Linked DNA regions of Cricetulus griseus. The protein of the gene in region 2 binds, or shares a complex with, the protein of the main gene of each other region. Links are inferred from orthologs where the notes say so. Each region holds a gene or a part of one and is shown on either strand. Other genes may lie near its edges.

Evidence for each region.
Region 1: the proteins of Csk (region 2) and Pag1 are in contact, whole or in part, in an NMR structure (PDB 2RSY), measured with the Rattus norvegicus proteins. The link is inferred for Cricetulus griseus from reciprocal best matches to the Homo sapiens genes CSK and PAG1. Residues at the interface, in NP_001025210.1 of Rattus norvegicus: Thr88, Arg89, Glu93, Arg107, Ser109, Thr110, Asn111, Tyr112, Thr117, Cys122, Glu123, Lys125, Val126, Glu127, His128, Tyr129, Arg130, Ile140, Asp141, Tyr156, Asp161, Gly162; in NP_071589.1 of Rattus norvegicus: Phe291, Ser292, Leu294, Tyr296, Lys297, Ser298, Arg299, Glu300, Glu301, Leu305, Ile310, Met313, Tyr314, Ser315, Ser316, Val317, Asn318, Lys319.

Annotation. Positions count from the first base shown.
Region 1 is NC_048595.1:138,154,902-138,169,763, reverse strand, and holds part of Pag1 (phosphoprotein associated with glycosphingolipid-enriched microdomains 1), read right to left. Parts: intron 14,089-14,862; coding exon 14,037-14,088; intron 11,116-14,036; coding exon 11,019-11,115; intron 9,711-11,018; coding exon 9,124-9,710; intron 5,570-9,123; coding exon 5,510-5,569; intron 3,712-5,509; coding exon 3,349-3,711; 3' UTR 1-3,348. UniProt on the Homo sapiens protein: Negatively regulates TCR (T-cell antigen receptor)-mediated signaling in T-cells and FCER1 (high affinity immunoglobulin epsilon receptor)-mediated signaling in mast cells.
Region 2 is NC_048597.1:169,252,767-169,268,406, reverse strand, and holds Csk (tyrosine-protein kinase CSK), read left to right. Parts: upstream 1-7,806; 5' UTR 7,807-7,868; coding exon 7,869-7,883; intron 7,884-8,198; coding exon 8,199-8,312; intron 8,313-8,428; coding exon 8,429-8,541; intron 8,542-8,794; coding exon 8,795-9,014; intron 9,015-9,789; coding exon 9,790-9,883; intron 9,884-10,041; coding exon 10,042-10,107; intron 10,108-10,184; coding exon 10,185-10,284; intron 10,285-10,394; coding exon 10,395-10,485; intron 10,486-10,682; coding exon 10,683-10,756; intron 10,757-10,856; coding exon 10,857-11,052; intron 11,053-11,131; coding exon 11,132-11,218; intron 11,219-11,409; coding exon 11,410-11,592; 3' UTR 11,593-12,259; downstream 12,260-15,640. UniProt on the Homo sapiens protein: Non-receptor tyrosine-protein kinase that plays an important role in the regulation of cell growth, differentiation, migration and immune response.

The DNA.
Region 1 (14,862 bases), on a different chromosome or scaffold from region 2:
CCAAATGAAACTGATGGAGAATGGCTTAATTCTGCTGTTATGACACAAGCTCATCACACTAGTGGGATAAACTCTCCAGATATGTGATAGAGCACATCCTAATTAGTGTCAGGGCTGTGCCAGCAACACACAAGACATACATATGTACATACATACACACGTATACATATAGTTTATCACATGTGAAGACAGGGAATGTTCTAATCATACAGGTGAAAATCAAGTAAGAGCAGCACCCTGGCATGCTGGGTGAGATTTTAGTTATGTGTTGATGGCCTATTGCTATTTAGCATTTAATTAGAATTTACTGTGGGAGAATCCAATTCTGTTGAATTTACTGTAGAACAATCATGAAACTTTTTCTCACAAAGATTATTGGTATTATTTAGAAGTTTTACAGACTTAATGGTATGATTTAGATAAGGTTAAGTCAAAACTATGCAGCCAACATATTTATAAAAATGACTTTCATTTAGAATTTCTTGAACATTTCACGGAAGACAGTCTATGCTTTTCTCATGATTTACATTTGGGAAGTATGTAAAGGAGCATTAAATGCTTTCAGACTTTTAAAGGTATTTAAGGAAAAGGAAACAACTACTTCTAATCTAGATAGAATTATAATTCTGACTTAAAGAGAAAAGCCTTATGATTTATTGTTCTCTTTGTGGATAGTTTCACACGAGCTGGGTATGAGGCACACTGCAGATGCCAGGTGATTTATTTTTCTCTTTGTGGATAATTCCACATGGGCTGGATATGACTGGATGCACACTGTGGATGCCAGCGGTGAATGTTTCTGTATACGGTGCAGTCTGCTTTGATTATTCCTTTCATACATTTAAACTCTGTCACATTTAGGTTAAGACTTTAAAACAAACCACAGGCTCTGTCCAGCTCAGACAGGAACATAGATTTTGAACCAAGTAAATGAGTAAAAAGTTATAACAAAATGAAATAAAATGAAAGAACCCTGGATAATCAAGTTAAACAATGACAACACACCAATATACAATAATTATGTACCTGAAGCTCAGCTGAGCAAGCTGTTTTCCTTCCCCGCTCCTCCTCCAGTCCTCACAAGCTATTGCTTATTCTTCTGGAATTTGTGTCGGAGGGCCTTCCAGTTCCTTGTAAAGTACTCAAGATATCATCTGTCACAACTTGTTCACTGGTTCTCAAGCCAGGAGAGCGATTTCAGTGCATATTTTATGACTATGCTGCATACTATATTTGAAAACTCTGGGGACATTTTGACAACAAGGTTTCAAAACGACATGATTATTTATAATGAACTTGTCTCTAAAGAGTTTTATACTCCTGCACTCATCCCAGCTTCCCTGCTAAGTTAAAACTTTTTATAAAACACAATCAAACTTCGGAGGTGTTAGGTGCCCGTGAAGAATGGCACTGTGGCAAGCACAAGGCTGGGAGTGCTGTGTCATGGGTAGCACCATGTGCTAAAGGGACCCCTGTGACCTGGGTCAAACTCATTAATACATAGTGGTGGAAGTCAGTGTTTGCAGAAGATCCTTGCCCTCTGCTGCTCCTGGGGCCAGGGGTACCCTGCTTGTCACCTTCTGATCGGCAGTGGTTATGCTTATCCATGTGGCATCTTCATGGGTGGACTGGGCTGATTGACACCACCTAAGAGAGTTGAGTTTACAGTTCCACAAGCATGGTACACAGCAGAGACAAAAAACAGTTCGTGAATAACAGGGATGGAAACACAGGCCACAGCTGACCGGTCACTTCATCTTCTCAGTCACACTCTTTGTCACAAGGAGGGAAAACAGCATGATTATTAAGTCATTAGAATCAGATGTCACGGCAGGAGGGGGAACGGCCTCTCTTTGTCTGAATCAGTGAAAAGTGAACATGCTTTCCAATGTTGGCCTTGGAAGATCTAGAGAGATGATTAAATTCAAACCAGACTGAATTTGTAATCTGAGCTACTTCAGACTTTTGTTATATGAAAGAAAAAAGTCTAGCAGGCAATTTGTATTGGCAAGTACTGATGTCTTAAAGATGCCAATGGACTTTAATGCAAGTCTGCTACTTTCAGGGAGTTCAAAATTCCTAAGTCAGATTTTGTTCTGTTTTCAACACTATTTCAGTAGTGTCCATCACAACCGTTGACATGATTATTTTATGCCTACTGCATTTTTGCCACCAGCAGTCTGAGAGTTTGGGATCTTGAGCTCCCAAATACCTTTTTGAGAGCTGAGTCTTTACAAATCTTCAATGTTACATTACTTGTTAGAGAAAAGAAAAGAAAAAAAATCACTCAAAATTATCTAGCTTATGTGCTTTATGGTGTCTTTTCAAATTGAGAGTATAAATCATTGTACATAAAATCAAAATAGTTAATATATATTTTCTGGCATTTTCTAGAAATTAGGCATGAAACATAAAACATCTTATAAATTTATATAATAAAATAAATGTTTACATTTTACTCTTAGATTACCATCAGATAACAGGAAAGTCACACATGTGGGCAGCAGAGATCACTGGAAACACAAATTAATGTCCGCAGCCCTTTGGGGATAGACACCACAGCTGCCATCCACACATGTGGCCCAGGTCCCAACTTAAACATTAAGGCTCTGGAAGGAAGAGCGCTGGGTTTAAACAACTTCAGAAGTACCATAGTAGTCACTGGGAATGCAAAACAGCTTTGACAAATGTCTGAATACTGTGGGGGGGAAGATTTTGAACAGAAAAATATAAAAAGTGTCTAAAGTACCTTGTGAAAAGACTGCCATGTCAAAATAGGAGCAAAGACCCCAGAGACACCCCACCCCAAACATAGTAGCCTGCACTGTGCACATTCCCAGGGACCAACACAGCTGGTCTGGGAAGGGGGTGGTCTAATGGGAACCAGTGCCTGTTTCTCACCATCATAATATCTAGCTGAAGACTAGCGCCAAGCCTGTGGGAGACAGTCCTTAGAATGAACCACAGACATGGGGAGGTCTCACATGGTGAAATGCCAGGTATTTTAGCACTAGTAGCAGACAAAGAAAAGGAGAGTGAGGAAGAAAACCCTGGCTGGTCCACACCAAAATTCCAGGCAGATGGAATTTCAGCATTGGTGGGTGGAGCTTCCCCTCACAGCCTGCCTTCCTTGTGGCATGTGGTGGTCACATGCACCAGAGGTTTCTTGTGAGCATGAGGTCCTGCCATGACAAGTGAGTCTGTACCTTACTGTTTCAGAAACTGGGGAACAGATGTGAACCTGTACTTGACTTCAGTTAACTGAAGCAGCCTGAGATGGATGTCTTCTTATCCCAGGCAGAGCTGTCCCCTGCTGTGCAAGGCTCTTGGGGACTACTTTCTGGGATTCTAGAGCCTGGTGATATCTCTGCATTGCTGCAAGTCCCCAATGCTCTCGTAGTCATTCTCCTTGGGGACAAGGTGGCCATTGGTCTCCAGAGGGACCTTCTCTTCCTCTCTGTTTAGAGTCTGTATGGCCTCATAGTCAGGCTCGGGTTCCTCGCTGGACCTCCTTGCTGGCGGGAGTGTGCTGATGCTGTTGGGAGATTTGTCGAAGTCTTTCACAGTGGCATAGAGGTCATTACAGGAAGAGGGTGACCTCTGAGGGGGTCCCTGCATGGAGGGGCAGGCAAACTCTGGTCCTTTCGGAGATTGTCCAGGTTTGTGTGCTGACTGTCCGGGTTTATTCACTGAGGAATACATCGCTGAGATCTAGGGGACAATGAGAAATGAACATGCCACCTGCGGGCTGATTCCTTCCTCCTCTTCTTGGTGATAGGCTACGAACTTGGCACTCATGAACACTCCCTGCCCCAGAGTTACTGATGACAAAGATGTCATCAATTATGTCATCCATGTCTAATATTTTACTAGAGAATAATCAAACTATCTTCTTTTCTAGAGATCACTCATATTTGATTAACTCTATAAACCCAGTTTTGTGGGTTTCTCACGGGACCAGATAGAGCTACTGTGGCTAGTAGAAAGCTGACTAGAGGGAGGCCAAGGACTCACAAGGGACTTGGTAGAAGGGGGGTGCATGGGCTGGTGAGGGGTGCTCCAGAGATGGAGGCGTGAGAATGAGAAGGCTACCTCGCAGCACCTGGGATAGGGAGGCAACCAGAATCAAAGATGACTCCTAGGTTTTGCCTTGTGTAGCTGGGGAGAGAGATAGATGAAAGTTTCCCTTCCTTAGGAAAAGGAACTTGCAGGGGCCTTCATCTTCCAGCACTGCACTCAAGAGCTCTCTGCCTATGTGTGTGGTCTTCACGAGGACAAAGTTCCCACACTGGGCATTCCACTCCAGCAGTGTACAGCTAGAGTAGGGACGGTGTCTGGCGCTCTGTCTGAACCTAGTTCCATGTGTGTCATAATCGTGGCTTCTACATTTGGAAGGCACTACTAAAAGTCTCCTCAATTTTTATCCTGGTTCTTGGAAAATCACCATCTGTTTTCACTGGTTGCTTCAAGTCATGTTATCTTAGCCTGATTAATCTTTCCTGAAGCAACCAGCATCCAACATTCCTCATGGACATTTTCCCCATCTTTCAGGTAGAATCAAATTCCCTCCTCCTACTCATCCCAACACCGATTTCCTTCAAGGGTGGACCCTCAGCTGTTGACTAAAACTCACTTTCCCCTTTCTGACCCTAGTTCTTCCTCCTCTTCATGTCTGTACAACCCTTCCTCCTACCTAGTGTCCTTCACTCTGCAAAACCTACTCCTGCACGTGACACTGGATTGTATAAGAAAGCACGCTATGAGGAGCAAGTCAGTACATTACCCCATGGCCCCAGCTTCAGTTTCTGCCTATAAGTTTCTGCCCTAACTTCCTTCAGTGATGGAGTATGACCTGAGACTTGTAAGCTGAAACAGACCCTTTCCTCCCCAAATTGCTTGTGGTTACAGTGTTTTAGCACAGAAATAGAAGCCCTAACTAAGACAACACTCCATGAGAGTGTGAGTGTGTGTGTGTGTGTGTGTGTGTGACAAATATCTATATCTATATCTATATATCTATATCTATAACTATATCTCTATCTATCTATCTATCTATCTATCTATCTATCTATCTATCTATCTATATATAGAGAGAGATCTCATGAGGCTGGCCTTGAATTCCTGATCTTCTTGCTTCTACCTCCCATAAGCCATGATTGTAGCTATCTGCAACCACATTGGATTTATGGTGTCTAGGGTTATAGACTAAAGTTCCTTTATTAATAAGTTTTATTTAAAAAAAGTTTGCAAGCAAGTGCATGTGTGAGTGCAGGTGCTGTGGCTGCTCTCAGAGGTACTGGGAGGCACTGGATCCCTTGGAGCTGTTGAGACAGGTGGGTGTGAGCTGCCCAGAGTGGGTTGTGGTAACTGAACTCCTAGGCAAGAGCAGTACATGCTCTTAGCTGCCAAACCATCTCTCCACCCCGCTGATGTCTTTATTTTTAAAAGGCGGGTTTTTTTTGTTTTTGTTTTTGTTTTTTTTTTGTTTTGGTAAAGAATTGAAACTTACCTCCTCTTCTGTAAGAGTTGGGTCTTCTTCCCGAGACTTGTATGACAAGGAACTAAATCTCTGTCAAAAAAAAAAATGCAAATCAAAGTAAAGCAGTTTGAAGCCGATGGTTTAACCTTTCTTCTACACATATACATCCATGTCTATACCAATGTGTTCGGGTGATCTCTACAGACCACAGGCAATTATGTATCTCTTACATCAGCTGTTGGCACACTAAAGGCTACCCAGCCACATTGCTGCTATACAGAGGTCTTCTAATAGTTCTATGTACAGGTGGAAATAAGCCAGTGATTTTAAAAACCATCTCATTTTGGTTCCTAATCATCACTGAGGAAGGGCTGACAGTAGTGGGGGAGGGTGATAGTAAAGCTGGCCCTTCTATACAACATGCCAGCATGTCACATCTGAGAACCTGCTGGTATCTGGTGTCACCAGGAAAAACACCCACAGATCTCACAACCTCCTCTCCTGCCTGTTTCTCAATGATTTTCACTCCTGGTTCTTCTGTGACTTTGGCTCTGGCTTATTAACTAATTCTAATATACTTCTTATTTCAATTCTTGATTCCAACAAAAGTCATACCCATCCCAACCCTCTCTTTCCCACACTGACAGTCTACTTCACCATCCCCAGTGTCTCTTCACCACACCAGGCCTTTAGTTACCTGGGCCCTCTCTGTCCTCCACCACCCCAGCTCCTAGAAACCCCTTCAGACCAGCATTTGTCATTCAAACTCTTCTTTTTAATACCGATTCCAGTGATTCATCAACACTTAGTTGTGATGCAACTGTCTATTCCACTGCCCCTCTGGTATCTCTCCTTCCTGCTTCACCAAGTATTACTCTATCTGTAGTCAGTCATCATAACAACTAGGGAAGCTCAGGTCCCTTCCCTGCTGCTGAGACAATGGCTGGGCCCTCAGAGTGGCTCTGTGTCTTAGGCCACATCATGAAGACATCCCGCATTTGCTCTTCTTTACAGGCCCATTGACTTGGTATCGTCTCCTCTTCCTCCAAAGACTCAACATGTCCCCACCTGCCCACCACAGCACCATCTCAGTCACTGAAGGATGGCCTTGCTTCTGGATTCTCTGAGAAAACTCAAAGATGCAAATATATTTCTCTGAACTCTACCCTGCCCCAGCAGCCCTGGTGGCCTTCTGTCCCCTCCTGGCTGCCATACATGAACTTGCTTGACATGTCTTGCTCCCAGTCGTCCCTCCTGCACACTGGATCCTGTACACACTGCATGTGAGTGCTATTCTGCCTCTCTCCTATTCTGTCTCCTTCACCAGATTTTCTCCCTTGGTGGGGCTAATCCATCTATACATAAGCACACTAGACACTAAAACAGAACAAACAAGGGTACTGCCAGTTCCATCCTTCTCTCACTGCCATACAGCAAAGCCTTGGGTAACTTTCCTCTTTGAAGCCACTTCATCTGAGTTTGCACCTTCACTGGTCTGAGGAACTATTCATCTTGGTCCCAAATGATGGCCACATCAGAATGATGACTATTCTATGTCAACTCAGGTGTCCCCTTCCTTCCCAGATACTTCTTCTACCCAGTCTCTAGTAACTCCTGTCCTCTTCACTGTTTTTTGTTCGTATTTTGGTTTCTCCTGCTGCCCCCCAACCCCTAGATCCCTGTTCTTGGGACTCTCCTGGCCCTAGTACACACTCATCCAATCCCATGTTTTTAAACAGTTTTGCTGCTCGTTCTAAAACTGTGTGACTCCAGTGCCAGCCTTCCCTCTTAGCCCATGCATATCCCCAGCTGCCCTAAGGTGTGTCAGCATTGGGGACAGTCCTGATCTCTAGCGACACATTATTAAAATGCAGAGGGCTGAGGCCTGCCCCAGCTCACATCCCCCTGGGATACTCTATCTTGATTCATATGGTTCCTTGTGCCCACTGACTGTGCCAGCCCTCACTCAGCCCTTGGCTAATCACTTCTGCTGCCTCTGTCCTACTTGGCTCTACTTATTAGAGTGGGGGAAAGCTTACAAAGCATAGATAGCACTGTTGTGTTCTGCTGGTTTCATGCAGACAATAAACCCAGGCCATAAGTTCCCACCCAGGTACCTGTCTGCATACTGCACTCGTCTTCACCCATCTCTGCTCACTACCCCAGCTCTCCATGCACACACCAGCCACTGATCTAGCTTAGGGGCTTCCTAGAGATCAACAGGTGCCGGAAGAGCACCTGTACAGCTTTCTCAGTCACTCCCTAACTCTGCTAAAGATTAACTTCACATTGAGACAGAAGCTAACAACTCTCTCCCCACCCCACTCACTCCCAATCTTATTTTTTTTCCCTTTAATCTGTATCTATCTTTCTCATTTAAGCATATATTCCACATGACCTGGGATTTTCATTCATTTATGTTTTGTTCACTGGAGAATAACATCTAGGAGACCATATGGCAGGTAGTAGATACTCCATAAAAAATCTTTTTTGAATATTAAACATTTGAAGTTCGTAATTCACTTAAAATTGGGATTATTTACATGGGAGAGGATTACTCACTCTACGATGTGAAGGATATTTGATCTTAGATGTGGATTTCCAGTTTTTAATGTGAAATCTGGAGACCTGCTTGTTAACAATAGAAAACCAACCCTTTTGTCTTCCAAATGTTTACTAAGAAGAAGCTTTAGCTAGTGTAGGCAGTGTAAGCTTACCTTGGCTTCCTTGTCTTTGGTTATGTGAAGGGTGGAAGCTTTAGACTGTACTGCAGTTTACGAACATGTTTGTAAATACTTTCAAGGTGCTTACAACAACTCATTTCAAGATAGCATAAAAAGTTGGAACAAATTCAGATTAGTGCAAAGAATGACTTCATACTATAACCAGTGTAGCCATAGAGGGGTGACCATCAGCAGTCCTCCTTGCAAAGGGTGGGAGGTAAAGCTAGGACTGGAAGATAATTTGGCATTTTTTTCTGTGTAGATAATAGGAATCTACAGTAGCTGACAGACAGAAGCAGAACAGGCCCACTTAAATGGTGAGGACATCCAGTGTGAGGCTCACCATGGCTCAGTTGCTGTGAGATACCCGCACCATCAGCACCACAAGCTGTGGACTGCTGATGGAATTTAGACCTCTGCTGACTGGACTTTTTAGAAATTACTTAAAAATATTGCATATACACTAGTGGAAAAGACATGTTAGTTGACTTGGAGGAAAATACACAATAAGTTGCAAGCAGGGACACCTGCCATCTGGACACCTGCCATCAGGACAGACACTGAACTCTAGGTTATGGGATTCAGAAAATTTCAAGGTTACCATGCTGCTCGAGGAAGCCACACACACAGAGGAGGGAAGCTGTGCAGCAAAGAATCCTGCCTACTTAGTTCTTAGTCTTCAAAATGAAGACAATAATATTGGTCTAATTACATATAATATAAATGTTGGGAACTACCCAAATGAGAAATTCAGAGAGAAATGTTTTGTAAACATCAATCTTCAGCAATCTAAGACTTAGAGGGTGAAAAGGCCAAGCACAGCTTACAGTAGCCCATGTCACTTCTCATCATTTCATGAACCTGCTAGTATTATATATATCTCCCAGGACCTGAGACCTTCTCATCAGGACAAAAGCCCACCTTGCTGTGTCCACTGGTCCCCTCTGGAGCTGGCTCTTCCACCTCGCTCTCTCCTTTCTCTGGAAGGTTTGCGTTCTCATCCAGAAGTTTAACCGGAACAGGTGGTGGGGCTTCCTCTTCCAGGTCACTGGAAGTTCCCAGAATGCTCTCCGCGTTCATGCTTTGGCGGCACTTTTTGTTCCTGTCCACAGAGGCATATTCCGCAAAGTCGGCTTTGCCCTCTGTGTGGGGCCGCTGAAGCTCCTTCAAGGCAGAAGTGGATTTGGACTTGCCATTCTGGCCTTTGTCCGTCACCTCCTTGATTTCCTTTACAGTTTCGTACAGGCAGTCCTCCACCATGTTCTCCTGGGAGGAGCTATCCTTGAGCACCTCGTAGGGCCCCTCCATGCCGGGCCCCGAGTCCGCCTCCACAACCCTGGCTGTGAGCATCGCGTCCACGGCATTCTCAGGGGGGATCCTGGGCAGCTCTCGGCTCTGGTGACTCTTGGGCTTTCCTGTGCTGTCCTGGGAGTCCAGAAGATCTGAAGCTGAGGTCTGAACTTCCTCATAATGCTGCATGCAGGTCAAGGTGCTGTCTTCTGAAAGAACTGAAGCGGGAGGGGGTGTTAGACAACCTCTTAATAACCAGCGCAGGGGACCACTATGTTAGACCATCAACCCCGTTTTCATCTGATGCTCAGCTGCAAACTGTGACGTCAATGCATATTCCTATTCCATTGCATTGAAAGGGAAGCTATCCATTGTACCTTTCCCAGTACAAGATTAATAAATGATGTGGGCTAGCTATACTTTGACTCATGGTTCATTTCATTACTTATTGTTACCCATATAGGCAGAGGGCTTGACAGTCCAGGTGGGGCCAACTGCTTAAAGAAGCTGAGGCAGGAAGACTGAATTCAAGACTAGGCTGGGTAACTTATCTCAAATAAAAGTAAAGGAGGCTGTGGCTGTAACACAGTGATAGTGCTTGTCTAGCACACATAAGGCCCTGGATTACACCCCCAGTACAGAAAACAGTTGACAACCCATGGGACTGCAAGATACTAACAATGGGGCATTGTTACCGTAGTCTAATTGGCCTCTGCCTCTATGGAGGGAGTAGGTGATCTTCCCACCCTGCCCCACTTCACAGGTCACTTTCCTTTGGCAGACATAACAGAAGTTGAGCATCAATGATGAACCTTTAGGCCAGGATCACAAAAGGCCAGACTGTGCCTTGTTTCCAGTGTGCCTCAGCTCACATCCTTGCCTCACATAAGAAGTCCAACCAGGATGTCCTTAGACTGCCTCTAAAATGGTAACCATGACCATGGCAGTAAGTCCTTATCACATGGATTCTGAGTGTTTGCTAGATGCCAGAGACGGTTAACAAGGTAGAGACCCGAGGTGAGCAGAACAGAATTCTCTCAGGGTGCTCAAATCACCAACAAGTTCTTACCCAAGTGGACCTCATTATAGGGAGATTAGAGACATTGGACCAGCTGGGAGGGTCTCCTAAGGCCCTGAACCTAACCAACAAAACAGAACCCCTAACACCACCAACAAACCAAGACAAGAAATACAACACGGTGGGGACCATGGGAACCTGAAGAATGTTAGATCCAGGGGGCTAAGAATTCATTGTTATGGGTGTATGTATGGTGTTCTGTCTGCATGTATGTTTGTGCATCATTTGCATGCCTAGTGTCCGTGGAGACGAGAAGAGGGAGGGCATCGGATCCCCTGGAACTGCAGTAATAGTCCGTGGTGAGCTGCCAGCCATGTGGGTGCTGGGAATCAAACTCAAGTCCTCTGGGAGAGCAGCAGTGCTCTTGACCACTGAGTCATCAACTCAGCCCTGAGATCTACCTGACTGGAAACCTAGTGTTCCACGGTGGCATCTCTGCAGAACTTACTGTCACCATTGCTGAGCACCCCATTCTGCTCACTGCTGGCCAGTGCATCTGTTGTCAGACTGGTTGCAGAGTGGCTGAACATCTCCTTGTCCGAAGGCTGAAAAATCCAAACACAATTTTGGGTAAGAATCTGCTGGGTACCCTAAAATCAAAGCAGCCAAAAGCAAATCCGAGAATCAATGGATTAAATTAGGTGAGTTATCCAGTTCCATAGACTTAGCCACACTCAGGTGTCAAGTGGGGACCATTTTCACCAATGGAGAACTGCTAAGCTTATTTCTGAAGATGCGGTTCTGGACTCTGAAGGGGCACTGGGACTCTTCCAGGGCTCCAGGCAGCACATCTCATTGGGGTTCCAAGTGGACTACAGGTACATGTGTTTCCTTAGCTCAAGGCAAAAGGAGACCACAAATTCTTGTGTGGGTCAGAACAGTCACTAACAGGGACCAACACCATCCTTGTAACACAGGTGTTGCCAAACAAACAGCAAAGTATCACTGCTGTATCTGGATAGAAGAACCTTAAATCTGGCCAGCCCAGTATTTAATGGCATGCATTTTTCTGAGTCTATTTCAGAGCTAGTCTCTGGCTTTAGGCGTTACTAAAATGATCATTTACTGGAAAATTGCTTTGCAAACCTTCCCTATCCTCAAAGACACATAGGCACTTGGGAAGAGAGTGTGTCTCTGGGATGATGGTGGTGTGTAGACAGTGCCAGGAACAACAGGACAGCTGTTGGAGGTGGAGGTGTCACAAGGGACATGCAGAAACAAACTGCTCCTTGAAGCACCTCTTCCAGCACTCAACTGTTCACACAGAGCAACCCAAATAGGCATATTCATAGCTTCTGCTGCCCAAGACACAGACTAGGTTCCAGGATATCACATGGGAAATTCTGATGTATTCTACACAGAAGTCTTGGGTAGTTGGCCTCACAAACTTTCTGACTCTGATGGGAAATCAAATAACTCACAGAAAATGGCCTTTGATGTGCAGCAATGTCCAAGTGTCTAGGAAGTCTGCTCTATTGGGCCAATGCAGCTCACATCTGCTACTGTATGATCTAGATGTTCATACTATAGAAACAGTGTCCTTAGGGCACAGGACTGGGGATCAAGGGAAGGCCTCCCATAGAACCTGTCATGGCCAAACTTCCATAATCCATGTCTCAACTACTATTTCACACCTTAGTTTCTATGAGAAACAAATCTGCAAACTGTGAATGATTTAGGAAATGCAGGAGCTAAGTGGGCAACAGTGTGAGTTCAGGCCTTGCTATCAGTGTAAGCATACATCCTTGTGACTGCACACTCTTGGAGACACAGCCGTGTTATGAACGTATGTGGAGGGGATCCTATGTAAAGAAGAAAATGAAGACTCAGCTTTCTTCCTCTGCTTACCCACTGCACTTCCCAAAGGCTGTTGACCTCAGTCAGAACAGCAGGGACAGATCAAGAATGATGGCATTCACATTGGTGCCTGCATCAGAGCAATTTGGAGGCTTGGTTCCATCCCTGGAACACTGGCTTCCTACCAGCTCCCAGGTGGTGCAATTAGTAATGGTCCAGCCTTAGCTTAGAAACCTCATTCTAGGAGGAAATGAGGGTAGAGGTACATGCCTCGTCTCAGCCACAACTCACTATCCACTGGCTGCGAGGAAAGTGGTTGGTGAAGAAAGACAGGGACCCATCCTTCTACTGTGTTCCCCCACCACACTAGTAACTATTGGGAGAGAATGGAGAAACTGGGAACAAAGAAGTGGGGACAACATAAGATGTGAAAATGGTGAGAAAAATCAGTCAAGGGATAGGAGATGCTGAGGGTCAGGACAGCTGTGATGGGTGAGGATAGTGATCTCACACAGAAGACAGAGTGCCCTGGGGTCTAGGAGCCAGGACAGGAATCCTGGCAGCTTCCTGCCTGCTTGGGCCAAGGCACATTGGGAAGTGGGAGTTCAGGTAGTCAGTGCCTCTTGCATGGGCTCTGAACATATCTGCTGGGTGCAAATAATGCTGGATCCCATGGAGTTTGATGCATATGTGATTCTTCTTGCTCTGAGCAGGAAGCAACTTCTCTCCTAGCACTGCCCTGGGGCTCAGGGGGTGGGGGTGGGGGTGGGGGTGGGGGACTCAACGTAGCCCTGTGGGTACAGCTGCTGAGGCTTCACTACCACCTAAGAGCACAACTTGAGTCAAAGGACAGACAAATGTGACACCCTCAGACAGATCCTCACGCAGGTGGGTGGATCCATGAGTCTATTGGGCCCACTGAGATTCCATCAAATGCCAAGGATTGGGAAGGCAGCAAGGCTAGACTCAGCTGGGGGCCCCAGGCCCCGGTGAATGGTTGTATTTCCTCCCAAATATATGTCAAAATCTTAGTCCCCGGTGCCGTAACTTTATCTGAAAACCGAGCCACTACAAATGACACTATTTAAGAATGAGGTTATATTAGAGTCAGGTGAGTTTTAGTCTCATATGTTTGGTGTCTTTTTGAAAGCAGGGGACTTGGCCCTAAGGACAGACATTCAGAGAGAGAAAGGTAACAGGAGGGATAAAGGGGAAGGCCGTGGGAAGGTGGAGGCAAGAAGCGGGTGTGAACTAAGGAACTGAGCTTGGGAACAGATCCAACTCTGGAAGAACCTAATGTAACAACACCAAGAATGTACACTCTAGACTGTACTGTACACTCTAGAGCAGAGAGACAGTAAATCTTATGTGAGTCATCTGCTTTGTTGGTGTGACAGCCCTTTCAGACCAGAGGGGACAGAAGACTTCCCTGCGGCAGTCTGGAGCCCTGTATTATCTTTCAGGCAGTCTGGTGACAGCCTTTACTTCAGAAGCCATTGTGAGCACTGGTGAAGCACACCGGCCCCGAGCCGTACATGTAGACTGAAGGAAGCCACTGTTCATTTCCATTTACTTCCACATGCCAGCTTCACTTGGGTCACAAGCCAGAAGCGACATGCCTGGATAGGTGTCAGTGGACAGCCAGCCAGCCAGCCATACCAAGGCTTACCACATTCATCAGGTTCTCGTGGTCCCCACCATGTTGCTTTGGCTTCTTCTCTCTGAAATGGAAAAGAAGACATCATTTGATGTCAGACATGTCCCTTAAAGTGAAGCAGACAACACGCTTCTCTAGACTAATGTCTATCTGGTGTTATGAATGAAGTTTATTTTGCTGAGAGAGAGGGAAAAGTCACACTGACAGCCAAGGCCAGGTCCCCTTCCTGCACACCCTTTCCCACTGAGCAGAGGATCAAGTTCACAGTGGGAGGACAGACACGGGCTGGAGTCAGGATCTGGCTGTGCCTAGAGTGCTCAGATGGCAGACAGTGCTTTTTTTCTTTAGCAAATCCTAACAATGATCTCATCTTCTCCATGAAGAGTCTGTGGAGTCACACGCTGTGAAGGATGAAAGTATGGGAGATACAACATTGGCTCATCAGGAAGGTGACATGCTCTCAGGATGAGTCACATGTACTTCTAGTCTATGGAAATGTCCGGTGAGTAAAAATAAAATGTGTTTTACACAGAACAATCTAAAGAAAGCTATCGGTAGTAAAGATGACATTTCTACCTATGGCGAGGAGAGGGTGACACCTAGTGGGATAGAGAGTCATTGCTGCAGAGAATCTTCAAGCTCATGGGAGTTGGAACTAGGGTCTCCCATGTTCTCATCTTTTTGGAGGTCAGGCTGCTCCTAGCCCTGAAGGCCTGGGTCCATGCTTGGCAGGAATTAGGAAAGGCCTCGATTTTCCCTTCTTGACAGATTTTAAGGTGGGTTCCATATCAGACTTTTAAATATTATCTCCTTTCTTTCCTGATTGAGAGAACAGAGC
Region 2 (15,640 bases):
CAGAACCAGGGGTGGGGCTGACTTTAGCTGCCAAACCAGCTCAGCTACTGGCAGGCTGCCCTCCTCAGGTGCTCTGCCCACTGCAGGGGGTGTGCCCAAGACTGCAACTTCACCTTTGCCCTGTCTGCTCTGTGACCTGTAGGAAATTTCCTTTGGCAGCCTTGATTGAATCCCTCAGAATTCGATGTAGGGTCTTAACGCTGGCCTGGTCTACTAGACACCCCTTTCCTAGGTCCTTTCTGTTCCCCTCACCACCTCCTGCAAACTTGGGGGTACCTATGGCACTGGAGTGCAATCCAAGGGGGCGGTTGGGAGAACATGCGATGCACATGCTTGACCTCCAAGTTATAGCCACAACCCTTGGTTTTCTGAGACACGGGCACACCTGGCTGATTGAGGAAGACAAGAGTTTGGAGTGTGTTTTGTTGGAATTCTCAGTACCCCAGTATAGGCTTAGCACAGAGGAGAGGCTGAGTTCTCAGACTTCTAAGCCTAGGGTCTCCTCAGCCTTTCCCACTCTGGCTCATCCTGTCCACCAGGTATGATGTGAGGCGCAAAGGATGGCTCCAGACACCCCAGCAGAGTGAGAAGGCAGAGAGGACTTTCCTGTTGCCACCACTGGTTCTCTCTCTCTTTCTCTCTCTCTCTCTCTCTCTCTCTCTCTCTCTCTCTCTCTGTGTGTGTGTGTGTGTGTGTGTGTGTGTGTGTGTGTGTGTGTGTGTGTGTGTGTGTGTGTCCATCTGCAGACAGTCCAGCTGTGTCCTATAGCAGGACCAGAGTCTCTGTGGGCCATAGCGCCAGTCCCCCTAGGTCTCTGGTACACTTCCCTTTTCAGTGGGTATTTTTAGCTGCGTGTAAACAGTTTCTGAAGGCTCCCACGCCCCATTAAGCAGTAGAGTTTTGGTGAGGGGGCAGGGCTGGAATCTTTTGACCTACCCTAACCCTCTGCACGTGCCTGGTTCTGGGGGTCTGCAGCTGCCTCTAGGGCAAGGAAAGGGCAGTCTGGAGTGTCTGGGCTCCTATTTTCCCCCACTTCTTGCCCTGTCCTGTACAGCCTGGGCTCCTAAGAAAGGCCTGCCTGAGGCTGCAGGCACTGACCTCAGCGCTTGGGCACAATGCCTAGCCTGTTCCCGGGACCCCAGCACAAGGGCTGCTGGGAGCAGGGTTTAGGGCAGGAAATCAGAGAGAAGCATTGGCCCTGCCACAGTCACAAGCCCCTGTCCTCTAGCCTTGTGGGGGTGGGTGACAGCTGCTGAGCCTTTGGGGTTAAATATAGTCCTATTGGTTGTAGGACCTAATGTGCTGTACTGGCCAGGCTTTTCCTATTCATTCATTCATTCATTCATTCATTCATTCATTCATTCATTACTCATTACTGAGAAGCAGCGCCCAGCCCAGCCCATGCTGGAGTTGCAGACATGAGTCAGATCCTAGCTCCTCTCTTTCACAGACACAAAGCTCCCCTTCCACCCTCAACCATAGGTCACTGCTAGTGAGGTCCTTTGCTGGAGCACGGTGGTGTGAGAGGGTGGTGTGAGAATCCGGACCAGCCAGCACAGCTGAAGAACCAAAGGACTCCTGGTGGGAGTGGCTTTCAAAAGTGGTATATTTTTTATTTTATTTTTAGGGAGAAAGTAATATAGATAGATGTTTATATCTTTAAAACAAAACCAGGGGCTGGGGATGTAGCTCAGTAGGGAGGTAGTGTTTTCCTGACCCACCTGAAGCCCTGGATAGACAGGAGGTTCAGAAATTTAAAGACATCCTTGCTCACATAGTGAGTTAGAGGTTAGTCTGGACTGCAGGAGTCTCAATATATATACAGAGTAAACAAGGTTTTCTTTAATTTGATCCATCCCAGGGGCCACCTCTGTTATTTGTCTGTCTCTCTTTTTGGGTGTATTTATTTACTTTATGTGTGTGTTTGCTTGCATGTATGTGTGTAATCATGAGCATGCCTGGTGCCCATGGAGTTCAGGAGAGGGTGTCAAATTCCCTGGAACTGAAGTTACAAACATTTATGATCTGCCATGTGGATGCTGAGAGCTGAACCCAGGTCCTCTGCAAGAGCTGCAATTGCTCTTAACTGCTGAGCCATCTCTCCAGCCTTCTCTGTGTCTCTCAGAAACTATTTAGGCACCTCCAAGCTTAGGAATGTGTATTCATTTGTGTAAAACACAACTTGTGAGCCAGGGAAATGGTGCTGCAGGTTAAGATGCCTCCACCAAGCTTGACCACCCAGGACCCACACAGTGGGAGGAGAGAACCAATTTCCACAAGTTGTCCTCTGACTTCCACATGTATATACATGCACATCAAATAAATAAAGTGTAATAAAAAAAATTAAAGCAAAACAGTTTATATCTGGGTGTGCTGGTGCGCGCCTATAATCCTGGCCCGGAGACTAAGGCAAGATGATCTTGGAATTTGAAATCTGTCTGGACTACATAGCAAGAACCTGCATCAAAAATCTAAAAACAGCTGGGCAGTGGTGGTACACACCTTTAATCCCAGCACTCAGGAGGCAGAGGCAGGAGGATCTCAGTAAGTCGAATACCAACCTTGTCTACATGGCAAATTCTAGGATAGCCAGGACTACATAGAAAGACCCTGTCTCAAAAAACAAAAGCAAACAGACAAAAATCTAAAAAATAACAACAGTCATAAAGCAAAACAAAAACCTCACCCACAACTGACAGTACACTGTAAGTCACCTGTATCTACATTTGCCTTTTTTGGCTTTGTTTCAAAATCACCAAAAAGTAGAAATAATATATTGGGTACTCATAGGTCTTTTGTCTATATTTACCTGTTCTTAACATTTTGCCACATCTATTTACCTCTTTTTGTTTTGTTTAAGATTTTATTTATTTATTATGTATACAACATTCTGCTTCCAGAAGAGGGCACCAAATCTCATAACAAATGGTTGTGAGCCACCATGTGGTTGCTAGGAATTGAACTCAGGACCTCTGGAAGAGAAGTCAGTGCTCTTAACCTCTGAGCCATCTCTCCAGCCCTTGTTTTGTTTTTTGAGACAGGGTTTCTCTGTAGCTTTGGAGCCCATCCTGGAACACACAGAGATCCTCCTGCCTCTGCCTCTGCCTCCCAAATGCTAGTTTAATTTTTTTTTTTTTTTTTTTTTTTTTTTGGTGTGTGTGTGTGTACTCATGTACACACACACACACACATCAAACATGGCACAGTGTATGTCCTGTGGGGGTCAGAGAACAACTTGTAGAGTTCATTCTCCTTCCAAGCATGGAACTCAAGCTGTCAGGTTTGTCTGCAAGTGTCTTTACCATTGAGCCATCTTGCCAGCCTTCCTTTGTTTTGTTTTGTTTTTATTGCATCACTGGGAGATTGGAACCTAGGGTGCCATGTGCATCACAAGTTGCTTTACTAACCTCTTTGGCTAGTTTTAGGCATCCTATCCCTTACTCTGGTGAGTTTGGTCTTTTAGTGTGTGTGTGTGTGTGTGTGTGTGTGTGTGTGTGTGTGTGTGTGTGTGTGTAGGGAGTTATGTAATTATGTTTGTGTTCATGTGTGAGTACACGTGTATGCACACATGTGAAAGCCAGAGGTCAACCATGGGTCATTCCTCAGGAGCTGTTTACTGTGTTCTTGAGGTAGGGTCTCTCACTGCATCCTGGGACTTGCTTGATAGGTTAGGCAGGCAAGCCAACCACTGCCTCTGCCTTCCCAGCATTGGGGTTACAAGCACGTGCCACCAACGTTGGACTTATGTGGGTGCTTGGGACCAAACACGGGTCTTCACAGCAAACACTTTACTCACTGAACTGTCTCTTTAGGTCCTTCTGTTTGTTCATTTGGTTTGTTTTCATTTTGGTATTTTGACAGTGTTTCTCTGTGTAACCCTGGCTGCCCTGGAACTTGCTTTGTAGACAAGGTTGCCCTGGAACTCACAGATCTGCCTGCCTCTGCCTCCCAAGTGCTGGGATTAAAGATGTTTTGTTTTTTAAGACAAGATCTCACTGTGTAGCCCAGTCTGGCTTCAGATGTGTAATCTCTCCCCATCTCTTGCCACCACAAAGAGGGGCTCCTATTGTATTTTGCTCTTTTGTTTGTACAACAGTAGCAGCCCCCATCTGTACCTCAAGGCTACACAAAGATTCCCTGGATGAAGGGAGAAGACAAGTAAGTGAGCAGAGTGCATGTGTCTGGGAATAGATGTGAGAAAAAGGGACAGATAAGGTGCTTAGAAGCCAGAACATATGGGAAGCTCCAGTGACTTCCCAAAGGTTGCACAGCAAGTTAGGGCCAGGACTCAGCGTCATTTCCTCCCAGGACTGTGGTCCTGCACTGCCTTCCTAGAGTGACTTGGCCCTAAATTCAGGTGATTCCCCCAAAGGACTATCTTCTGTGCTTACTCCCTGGCTACTTGGAAGGTGGCCTGCAGTAAGTAGCCTCTTGAAGCCACTCTGGCTGTCAGCCTCAGCCCTAGCTGGGACACTGCAGCTGCTCAGCCATCCTAGCCTGGTGACCTCACCGTAAGTGACAGGTTGGAAGGTGTCTGGTAAGACATGCTTCGAGGACAGCAGTGCCCCTCTAGGCAGCATACCTGACCATTGCTGCCTTGTCCCATCCCCTTAAGCACATCCTTGTCCCTGTGGCTGCTCTTCACCCTATCTGCCCCAGACTAGAGTAGTCCCAGACAGACAGCAGTTCCTGGGGATATAATGTGGTATGTGAGAAACAGGCTACCAGGAGGGAGTCCTGGCCAAGGAACTCAGGAGTCTGAAGGTGAATCTCACTGGAGCTGTGACCTCAGGCAAGGTCTCACAGTCCTCAGGGCTTCTCTTGGGGCCTCATCTGTATAATGGGGTTGGTAATAATAGCCCGTTTCTCAGTGTCATTAGGATTGGATGAGCCAAGGATAAGTCCTGCCACTGAGTAAGTGCTCAGAAAACAGGGCCTGTGATTATTTTTATTATTATCATCAAGGCAGCAGGGAGGTGGCACGGCGGCAGCTGCAGGCCAGGAAGGAGTGTTTGCAAACTGACAGCTGGAAGGGTGACTAACCATGCCCAGCCTCCGCTCCCTCCTGTGGTGGCAGCAGTGAGTTTTGAATTTGGGGAGGGAGGAGGAGGTGTGAAGAGCGGGTGAGCTAATATGATCTCCATAGAAGGGCCCTAAGGTTGGGGGCTCAGCAGCAGCAGTGGGACACTAGCTCACACTCAGGCAGGCTGTGTGGTCTTGGGTAACCTCTTGGACCTTGGTTTTCACTCCTGTCACAGGGAAGGAAGTCTCACAGCTCTCCCACAGCAGGTAGTCCACAAGGCCCAGGAGCTGGTTCTTATGCTTATGCTGGCTCAGTCATGGAAATATGGGGTGTGAGGGGGTGGTTCCTATCACACTCTCCCTGGGCTTCAGGGGCCCAGTCTAGACAGCAGGCTTAATGGGCTGCCCTTGCCTCTGGGTGCAAGAAGGACTATTTGTTCTGGAGGGAGCAGGAAGCATGCCAGACTTGTCCAATTCTGGGGTCTCATTCCATTCCCTCCATAGCCTCCTTGTCAAGGTCCAGTGTGTCCCCTTTCAGGACGAGGGGATATGAGGCCCAAAGAGTTGGTTCATTCTCTCCAGGTTGGCATGCTGATAAAGCCAGGTTCAAAGCCCAAGTCTGTCTAGCTTGGGAGTGCTGGTCAAACACCACCACCCCCCTATTACCAGCACATATCCTTCACCCTTGCTTCTGCTGAACTCTGGGAGCATGTGCTCCCCGAAAAGGTTCCCAGGGGCCAACCGTAGTCCTCCGAAGTTCCATGGGATCTCCTTGCCACCCTGCAGGGTTCATACCATGGCCTCTGGAACCCTTCTCATATAGCAGACAGACAAGAGTGCTCTGTATGGGCTCAGCAAGTTCAGGGTCACAGAGTCCCAAAGGGGCAGTTGGTTCCACTTTGCTTCACTAGCTTCCACTCAGGCCGGTTCTTATTTTTTTAATTTTTATGCCCATTGATGTTTTGTGTGCATGTGTCTGTGTGAGGGTGTCAGTACCCCTAGAACTGGAATTACAGTTTGAGCTGCTATGTGGGTTCTGGGAATTGAAACCCAGGTCTTCTGGAAGAGCAGCCAATGCTCTTAACCACTGAGCCATCTCTCCAGCTCCCCAGACCAGTTCTTGCAGCTGTGCCTACCTTCTACTCCAACACCTTGGCTAGGACTGGCTAATAAACTAAGCTTTTCTATGATCCTTTTTCTGGCCCATCCTCTTTTAAAAACAAGGTCTTAACCATGTAGCTCAGGCTGGCCTCCAACTAGGCATCCCTCTGCCTCACTATCTACCATCTGCTTTTCTAATAAATATCTTTTTATATCAATTTTTATTTGCTCAATTGCTCATGAATTTGAAACATAGACACCTTATGCTAGGGTTTGAACCCAGAGTCTTGAGCACTCTGAGCAACTACTATCCACTAAGATCAATCTCTGGCTCCCACCTTCTGAAGTCTTCCAGTGTTCAGGGCTCAGTTCTCATGATTCCTGCATATATGTGTACGTGCAGGTATGCATGCACATGCACACACATGTACCAGCACCTACACTGAAAGTCCTCTTCTAGCAGTGGTGTACATAGCCGCCATAAGTGCAATGGCTAGACCTCACCTCTCCCATCCCAAGTGCATCTGTCATCTAGCCCTGTGACCACAGAAAGGCCATTGGCTGTTCCCTCACCAGAAAGAGAACAGTAGCCCCACTCTGCCTGAGTCCTTCTGAGGTTATCTGAGGTCTGGGGCTGTATTTGGACTGAATGTGTTGGTGACATATATGTGTGTGTGTGTGTGTGTGTGTGTGAAGACATGCTTGCTGCTCTGGGGGAGTGTTCTGAGGAATTCCATTTACAAAAGTGCACATAAATCCAGAAGAGCACCAGCTCTCAGGCTACACCCAGCAAGTTTCTCTGGAGCAAACCCTCTCTTGCAAGGGGGCTCAGACAGCCCCCATAGCTGACACCTTGAAGCCCCCTCACACCCTGTCCAGTTCTTTCCTCTGCAGAGATTCATCCTGACAAGCCTGGATTGGTTTGATCCAGTTTTAAACTTGATACAAAGAGAATCACAAAGCTTGTGCTTCTCTGTGCCTAGCTCCTTGGTGAGAATCCAAGGCTGATAGGTGGCTGACATGGGCCATGCCACCGCTGTATGGAATTCCATCTTGTGACTTCTCCCTATTTTATCCACTTCATTTTCAGTACCTGGGCAGTTAGCTCTTGGTCTGAGATTTACTACAGAGCACACCATGAGAGAGCACCTACCCCTCTCCTGGAGGACATGGGCTACTTTCTTTTGGGTGTGTGCCAAGAAATAAGCACAGATATTTGTCTATACAGTCTCTGGGACAAGCCTGTGACCTTGTCTAACAAGTGACTTTCCTGGACCACTCATCACCTGCCTGGTTTCAGAGTTTCCCTAGACTCCCTTTCCCTGACAATCCTCAAGGCCTCCCTGGGACTCTTGAGTCTGTGTGCTTCTACCCAAGGCTAGATAGAACAGCCCTGGAGCCGGGCGTTGGTGGTGCATGCCTTTAATCACTGCACTCGGGAGGCAGGGGCAGGCGGATCTCTGTGAGTTTGAGGCCATCCTGGTCTACAGAGCAAGTTCCAGGACAGACTCCAAAACAATTCAGAGAAACCCTATTGGGGGGGGGGGGCAGCCCTGGATCCATGTACCAACTCTCAGAAGCTTTGGCACTGTGGCTTGTACTGCCTTGAAGGAACTGATGATCACCCACAGAGGGTGGGGTCGTCTCTTCTCAGCCTTCCTCAGCTTGTCTCCTCTCCCACAGCTCTAATGGTACCAAGTAACGGATTGGCCTTCCTGTAGCACGGGGACGCCAGATCTAAGAAGATGTCGGCAATACAGGTACCATGGGGTTGTGGTGGGGACAGATGAGGCAATCCCACATCTGGAAAAAGAGTGGGTGCTTAGACCAGCCTATTCCCCATTCCCAACCCTCCATGCTAGTCAAGACTTTGAAGCAACGGTAATTCCAGTGTGCTCTATTGGGCACAGGGCCCCAGACTGGGCTGCAGAGCAATTTGAGCTGGAAGGGACTGGGCATTCTCTTACCCCAAACTCATGGATATCAGCTAAGATGCTTTGGTCTCAAGGGCATTCGGGCAGAGGGGTAGAGAAGGGCCCCAGGCAGCACCCCCATACCTGTCCCTTACCTTGTAGGCCGCCTGGCCATCCGGTACAGAATGTATTGCCAAGTACAACTTCCATGGCACTGCTGAGCAAGACCTGCCCTTCTGCAAAGGAGACGTGCTCACCATTGTGGCGGTCACTAAGGTACTGTGGACCTTAGATGCCTATCCCATTCTTTCACCTCCAGGGATTCCCTCTGGGTTTGGCTCCCCAGCAGAGGGAGGTAGACCTGAGAGTGTGTCTGGTTGCCCTCTCTCCAGGACCCAAACTGGTACAAAGCCAAAAACAAAGTGGGCCGTGAGGGCATCATCCCAGCCAACTATGTCCAGAAGCGTGAGGGTGTGAAGGCAGGCACCAAACTCAGCCTTATGCCGTGAGTACCAGGAGGAGGGCTGGAGTCTCCTGGTTTGGGGAGAAGAGAGGAAAACAACCCTGAGTAAGAGGCGTTGTAGGAATGGAACAAGAGGTTGCACCTAACAGAGGGAATAGGCACCCAGCAGAAGAAAAGGGGACAGGGAGAAGATGGTGCCCTGGCTGATTGGAAGCAGTGGGAAAGCGCATGTGGGGGGCTGGCAGGAGGCACTGGGGTCAGTGCCATTGTGACCCCCAGCCTTGCCACCCCCTAGCTGGTTCCATGGCAAAATCACACGGGAGCAGGCCGAGCGGCTTCTCTACCCACCAGAGACGGGCCTGTTCCTGGTGAGGGAAAGCACCAACTACCCTGGGGACTACACACTGTGTGTGAGCTGTGAAGGCAAGGTGGAACACTACCGCATCATGTACCATGCGAGCAAGTTGAGCATCGATGAGGAGGTGTACTTCGAGAACCTCATGCAGCTGGTGGAGGTGAGTAGGGGTGCTCCCCCTTCTGCCCACACTCAGACACACCTGAGTCCACCTGAGGACATTTCACACAAACCCAGCACCAAGTCACCTGGCAGAGTAACCTGGACACGTTGACAGCACACCCCAGTGGAGCACCTGCTATGTGCCAGGGCCCATAGTACCCCAACAAGGGCCCGTTTTATAGATAAGGACACAAAGTTCTGATCAGTGAAAGTCTCTCCTCTCTCTGTACGTTGGAGGTGCCACTAGACTTTGAGGCTATCTGATCCAGAACTCAATTCCTCTTCCACTCGAACCTCCTCGTGTGTGTGCCCTGGCCACCAGGGTCCTTCAGGCCTTTGCACACCCACAGGTCCTTGCAGCTTCCGACACCAGCTCTGTCAGCTCTGACCAGGCCATACTTGGCAACAGAAAACTGTAGGTTCCCTCCAAGCTCACTCTCATCCTGTCTCTGGTTTACATTGGCCGAGGACACCTGGCTGGAGGCTGGTGCAGGGAGCAGGCCAGGCTTTGCTGTTTACCTTAAGATGCTGGTCAGGCCCACAGCAGTAGTGACAATTGGGAGTCCAGTAGCTGATGTGGGTGGGGTGACACAGGAAATGGACAGGCATTCCCACCCTTTTGAAATGAGGAACCTTTCACACAAAGCAGCTGGAGGCTTCGTGAACTGGCCTCTGCTGCCCCCTGGTGGTCAGACCTGAGCAGCCCGTGAGTCTATGAAAAATGGGGCCAGCGGGTCTGGTTCTGAGGGCCTGCCCTCCCCCTCTCTCTGCAGCACTACACCACAGATGCCGATGGACTCTGCACTCGCCTCATCAAACCAAAGGTCATGGAGGGCACAGTGGCCGCCCAAGATGAATTCTACCGCAGTAAGTACACTAACTACATTTCCACTGGCCTACCCTGGTGGTTTGGAGACATCAGACATCCCACATCTAAAGCAGTTTGGCCTGTGCCTGCCATCTCAAACGGCCTCAACTCTCTGTTCACCTCACTGACACACTGCTTTTCTGCCCCCACCCCACAGGTGGCTGGGCCCTGAACATGAAGGAACTGAAGCTGCTACAGACGATTGGGAAGGGGGAGTTTGGAGGTAAGTTGAGGGAGCCCCGGGAGGGTCTGAGAAGCTTCGGGTGTCCAGGAAACCGCATCCCTCCCTTCTTCCTCCAGACGTGATGCTGGGTGATTATCGGGGCAACAAAGTTGCAGTTAAATGCATTAAGAATGATGCCACTGCCCAGGCCTTCCTGGCTGAAGCCTCTGTCATGACGTAAGTTGAGACAAGCATAAGGGCAGGTTGCCTGGGGCCTGGGTGGAACGGGGGAGGCTGGCTGACTGAACTCTGAACTCTGGCTGACTACTCTGTCCCGCCTTGTCCAGGCAACTTCGGCACAGCAACCTGGTCCAGCTACTGGGTGTGATTGTGGAGGAGAAGGGTGGGCTCTACATTGTCACAGAGTACATGGCCAAGGTGGGTTCTCCTCAGCCTCACCTCTCCCTCCTCCCAGCCCCTCCACTTTGTCCCCACTGAGCTTTGAAGTTGCCAATCCTGGCCAGTCACTTACTTACTGAGGGACAAGTCGTGCCCTCTCCAAGCCACTGTTTCCTAAGTGTTCTGGATGTCCCCTGTTCCCTTTCCTCACGTCCCTTTCTGCCCTGCCCCCCCAGGGGAGTTTGGTGGACTATCTTCGATCACGTGGTCGTTCGGTGCTAGGCGGAGACTGTCTCCTCAAATTCTCACTGTGAGTGATGCAGCCTGGGGTGGGACTAAGAACTTGAAGGAGACCCCTGCCCTGCTATGGGAGCCCCAGTCTGAGGGGCATGTGGCTGTCCTGTCCTCAGAGACGTCTGTGAGGCCATGGAATACCTGGAAGGCAACAATTTTGTACATCGGGACTTGGCTGCCCGGAATGTGCTGGTGTCCGAGGACAACGTGGCCAAAGTCAGTGACTTTGGCCTCACCAAGGAAGCCTCCAGCACTCAGGACACAGGCAAACTGCCCGTCAAGTGGACAGCTCCGGAAGCCTTGAGAGAGAAGGTGAGCAAGGGTCCTAGAGTCATTATCCCCTCTCCTGAGCTTCCTAAAATCAAGGCTGATTATCTTATGCACATGGCAGAAATTTTCCACCAAGTCTGATGTGTGGAGTTTCGGAATCCTTCTCTGGGAAATCTATTCCTTTGGGCGAGTGCCTTACCCAAGAATTGTGAGTATGGGTCTGGGAGCCAGTGCGTTGCTGAAAGTGATGGCGGGTGGCAAGAGTAGCATCCATTGGTAACTGCCTCGTACCTCGGGTCTGTCCGGCCTGAGGCAGGGCTGAAGGCCCTTCCTAGAGAGGGAATGTGGGTAGGGCTCCCTTCTCTTGTAAGGCACCAAACTCATGCCACCTGCTCACAGCCCCTGAAGGACGTCGTCCCTCGGGTGGAAAAGGGCTATAAGATGGATGCCCCGGACGGCTGCCCGCCCGCAGTCTACGAGGTTATGAAGAACTGCTGGCACCTGGATGCTGCCACACGGCCCACCTTCCTGCAGCTTCGAGAGCAGCTGGAGCACATCAGAACCCATGAGCTGCACCTGTGACCTCTGCCTCCGCCTAGGCCCTGGGCCTGTAAGGACAAGGCCTAGAAGATCACAGATCTGGTGCCTGCTGCCCACTGGGCCTGAACTTGAACTGAGCCCCAGTGGGCTGGTAGGCCTCCTGCCTCTGACCTGCCTGTCCCTTCTGGCCCCCCAGGGACCCCACCTAGGCCTGGCATCTCTTATGGACCCACCCACCTATAGGGCTTGGGGCACTCACTGAAGGGGCTAAGGAGGGAGGAGGACAAGGAGCGGGAGGCAGTGCCCCCACTGTGGTCAGCCTTCTCTTGGCCTCCCATCACTCGCCTTCTTAGAGTTTTATTCCTTTCCTTTTTTGAGATTTTTTTCCGTGTGTTTATTTTTTATTATTTTTCAACATAAGGAGAAAGAAAGTACCCAGCAAATGGGCATTTTACAAGAAGTACGAATCTTATTTTTCCTGTCCTGCCCCTGGGGGTCGGGGAGGAATCAGCCTCTCTCTAGGGACCGATCACCCCAGCCTGTTCCCCATCCCGTGTTCCATGTCCAGTGTTGCCTCGGTCGCCTCTGTTTGCGCTTGACCATGTTGCACTGTTTGCATGTGCCCGAGGCAGGCGTCTGTGCTGTGGCCGCTCACCCACCGCCTTGTGAGTTGGAATCGTAATAAACCACTCCCATGAGGACACCGCCACCCAGCCTCGGCGCTTTCTCCGCCGAGCCTTCCTGTCTGCACAGTCGTCTTCCCATGCCATCTTGTCCATCCCCCCTGTCTCTGTGAGTGGGGCTGAGAGGGAAGCATGGCTAGAAGATGTAGCCGCCTCTTTGTGTCAGCTGCACGAGCCAGTGTCCTGTGTCTGCCCATGGGGGAGTGCTCACCGCCTGTCCATTCCTATCAGCTACCACCTGAGCCCAGCACCTGGGCAGCCTTGGGCTCTGAGACCAGTCCATGGGATGCTGCCTGGGAATTCTGGCTGCTTCTCCTGCCATGCTGTCCAGGCCGGAAGCACAAAGAATTGGAAGTCCAGGCCTGCCCAGATGGGGATGTGGCCCTGGGGCAAGAGCCCAGATAAAGAGCCTCAGAAGATACTGACCTCAAGGGTGACGGAAGGGGAGCTGCTGGGGATTCTCACATTTCATCTAACATGTGACAGCTTTGCTTTTCCTCACCCTACTGTGTGCCAAGCCCTGGCTTTCCTGGGCTTTGCATGGATTCAGGCACCTTCCTTATGCCCCAACTGGGGTAGACAAATGGAGAATGAGAACCAGCTTGGGCTTTTCTTCCCCCCAAGTTGTGCAAGGGCGGTAGAACCCTGGTGGGTAGGAGAGACTTGATTCAGTAGAGATAAGTAGGGAGGTTCCCCTTATCCCATCATGGTCCTGGCCCTCCTCCTCCAGCCTGCAGGACCTTAGACCAACGAGTTTTGGCTTGAAGCATGTCTTCTGTGTACCTCCCCAGGCCCACTGTGTTCCAGTCCCTCCCAATGCAACAACTTTCCCCACTAAGCTGCCCTTTGCACACCCTTCAGGCTGATTTTTGTGAAAAGCAGACAGATTAGTCATTCAACTGCAAATGTCCAAATACCTGCTGAGGGTAGACTGCTGGATGCTTCTGGCAGGTAGCAGAGTGGACCCTGTGGAGTTCATGGTTGAGAGGACAGTTAGTTACACACAGATAATGACAGGCTCTTCTGTTGTAAAGGAACACCCAACAGGAGAGTATCATAGATCAAGAAGTGGCATCCATGCTGAGTTCAGGATGGGTGCAAACATAGGTGGGGCTAGTAGCACCCCAGGGAGAGGAGACCCTAGTAAGGGAGGCTTGTCCAGGAGCTCTGAGAAGGTGGGTGACAATAACCAGTGGACAGCACCAGGAGATAAGAGATGGGGCTAGGTAGGGAAGGTTGTGGCCTACATGTGTTTCTTACCAAGGCAAGAGTTACTGTAATTCAGTGACATGTTTGGGGCATCAGAGACATGTCAAGTAATGCCATTCTAAAGTAATCACCCCAGGTCCCAGTGGGGAAGTGTGAGAATAGAGTAAAGATGATAAGAGGTAGTCGATGTATCAGTAAAACTTAGCAATGGGGTCAGCATGCTCCACAGGGAAGGAAAGGGAGAAGCCAGACGCCTCTGACTCTCCCTGATGGGTGTGTGTGTGAGCTAGGCAGCTACCAACAGAGAGGACCAGAAGAGACCATCACAGGTTCTACTGAGCTCAAGCATTCTGAGTTGAGTGCTTTTGAAACTGCCAAGAGGTGGGGGATTGATAAAGCATAGGCTGGAGAAGGAAACTGAGAGCTGTCGTGAATGGATTGAACCTAAAGGATGAGGTCCATATGGTAGGAAAGGGCAAAGATGAAGCCGAGGGGGGCTCTAAGAACAGGTCAGGAAGAAGTTCACACACCTGCAAACCCAGCACTCAAGAACAGGTCAAGAAGTTGTTCACATGCCTACAAACCCAGCACTCTTGAGGCAGGAAGATTATGAGTTAGATAGAGGCCAACCTGGGCTACTTGTTGAGACACCATCTTTTAAAAAATTAAAAATTGCTTCTGCAAGGCATTGAGATTAGGAGGGAGCAGGGAGGGAATGTTACTGAGGTCCAGGCAGAGGTCTTCTACAGGTGGAAGCCACTGGGACCTGCCTCCCAGAGGGCATGGAGATGGACACTGTTTTTGCCCCCAGGTCCAAGGAAACTGCCCTAGTAACTTCTGTGTTTGGCCAGGCCCATACCAGGAAAATGTATCTGACTGGAAGGAGAGGGGATGGGGGCAGAGGGAGTGGGAGTTCAGAGGCTTCAGCAAGTTTGGTTGTCTGAGGGAAGAACATTGGGTAGCATCTAAGTTCTGAGGGAAAGACAAGCTACTGAGAAGGCATAGTAGGAGTTGGGGTGGGAGTGGAGCTTTCCTTGGAGTTGGTCTCTCTGAAACTGCAGAGGAGGAAGACACACACCGAAGTCCTGGTGAATGTGTAATGACCAGATTGAAACCAGATATACACAGCTGTAACCCCAGCACTTTTGGGGGTGAGGGGGCAGGGGGATTAGGAGTTCAAAACCACCTTGGCTACATAAAGAGTTCTAGACCAGCCATGGTTGTAAAGTGAGACCCTGTCTTGGGAAAAAACAAAACAAGCAGAGTGGGTGGGAGCTGACTGTAAATGTTTACTGATATCTAAATCATAAATACTGTGGCTGATTTCAGAACACCGCCTGCTATGCCCAGCCATCTCCTGTTTAGAAGCCTGCAGTAGAGCCTTGTGGAGGAGCAGGCCCAGCTCCCAGGACCCTGAGTCAAAGCAGGCACAGGTAGCTGAACCCCCAGTCTCAGGGTCCCAGGCCTGTTTGTCCTTCAGTTTCTCTCCCTTTTCTTGCCCCCTGCCTCTAGCTCCCTTCTCTTCATTTCCTTTCCCTCCCCATTTATATTTTTATTAGACTTTTGAAGGTTTTTATTTTGTTTTGTTTTTATCTGGATAAAGTCCTAGAGACTGAGTCTAGGGCCTCAAAATGCTAGGCAAGTGATCTAATAGTGGTAGGATTGAGCTTGTAACCTACCAGCCCAGTTTTTCCTTTTTTATACTGGGCCTCAGGTAGCCCAGACTGGCCTCTAATTATGTTGCTGAGGATGAACTTACATTATTGAGTCTCCTACCTCCGTTTCCCAGGTGCTAGAAATACCAGCCTGTGATTCCTGGCCCAGTATATGCAGCACTAGGAATCAAACTCAGGGTTTTTGTGCATGCTAGGCCAGTATTCTGCCAGCTGAGCCCCAGCCCCAGCTTTTACTTTCCGTTTATGCTTGCGTTTCTTCTATCCTTCAGCCATCTGTGTGGCTGTTGGATTGTTGTAAATGAGCATGACATAATTCCTAACCTAGAGGGTACCCCTAACATTGTGGACAGATGGGGGAACACTCTCAGCGCTCAGCTTGCTACCCAGAAGTCCTTTGGGGTGTTACCTTCTGCCAGTTGCCTGACGATAATGCAGAGGCAGCAGGAGGTGTAGGCCACTTTCCAGGCACTCAGTAAAGGGCAAGTATTGGGTGGTGGTGAGGGTGTTCCTTGTCAAAAGAAG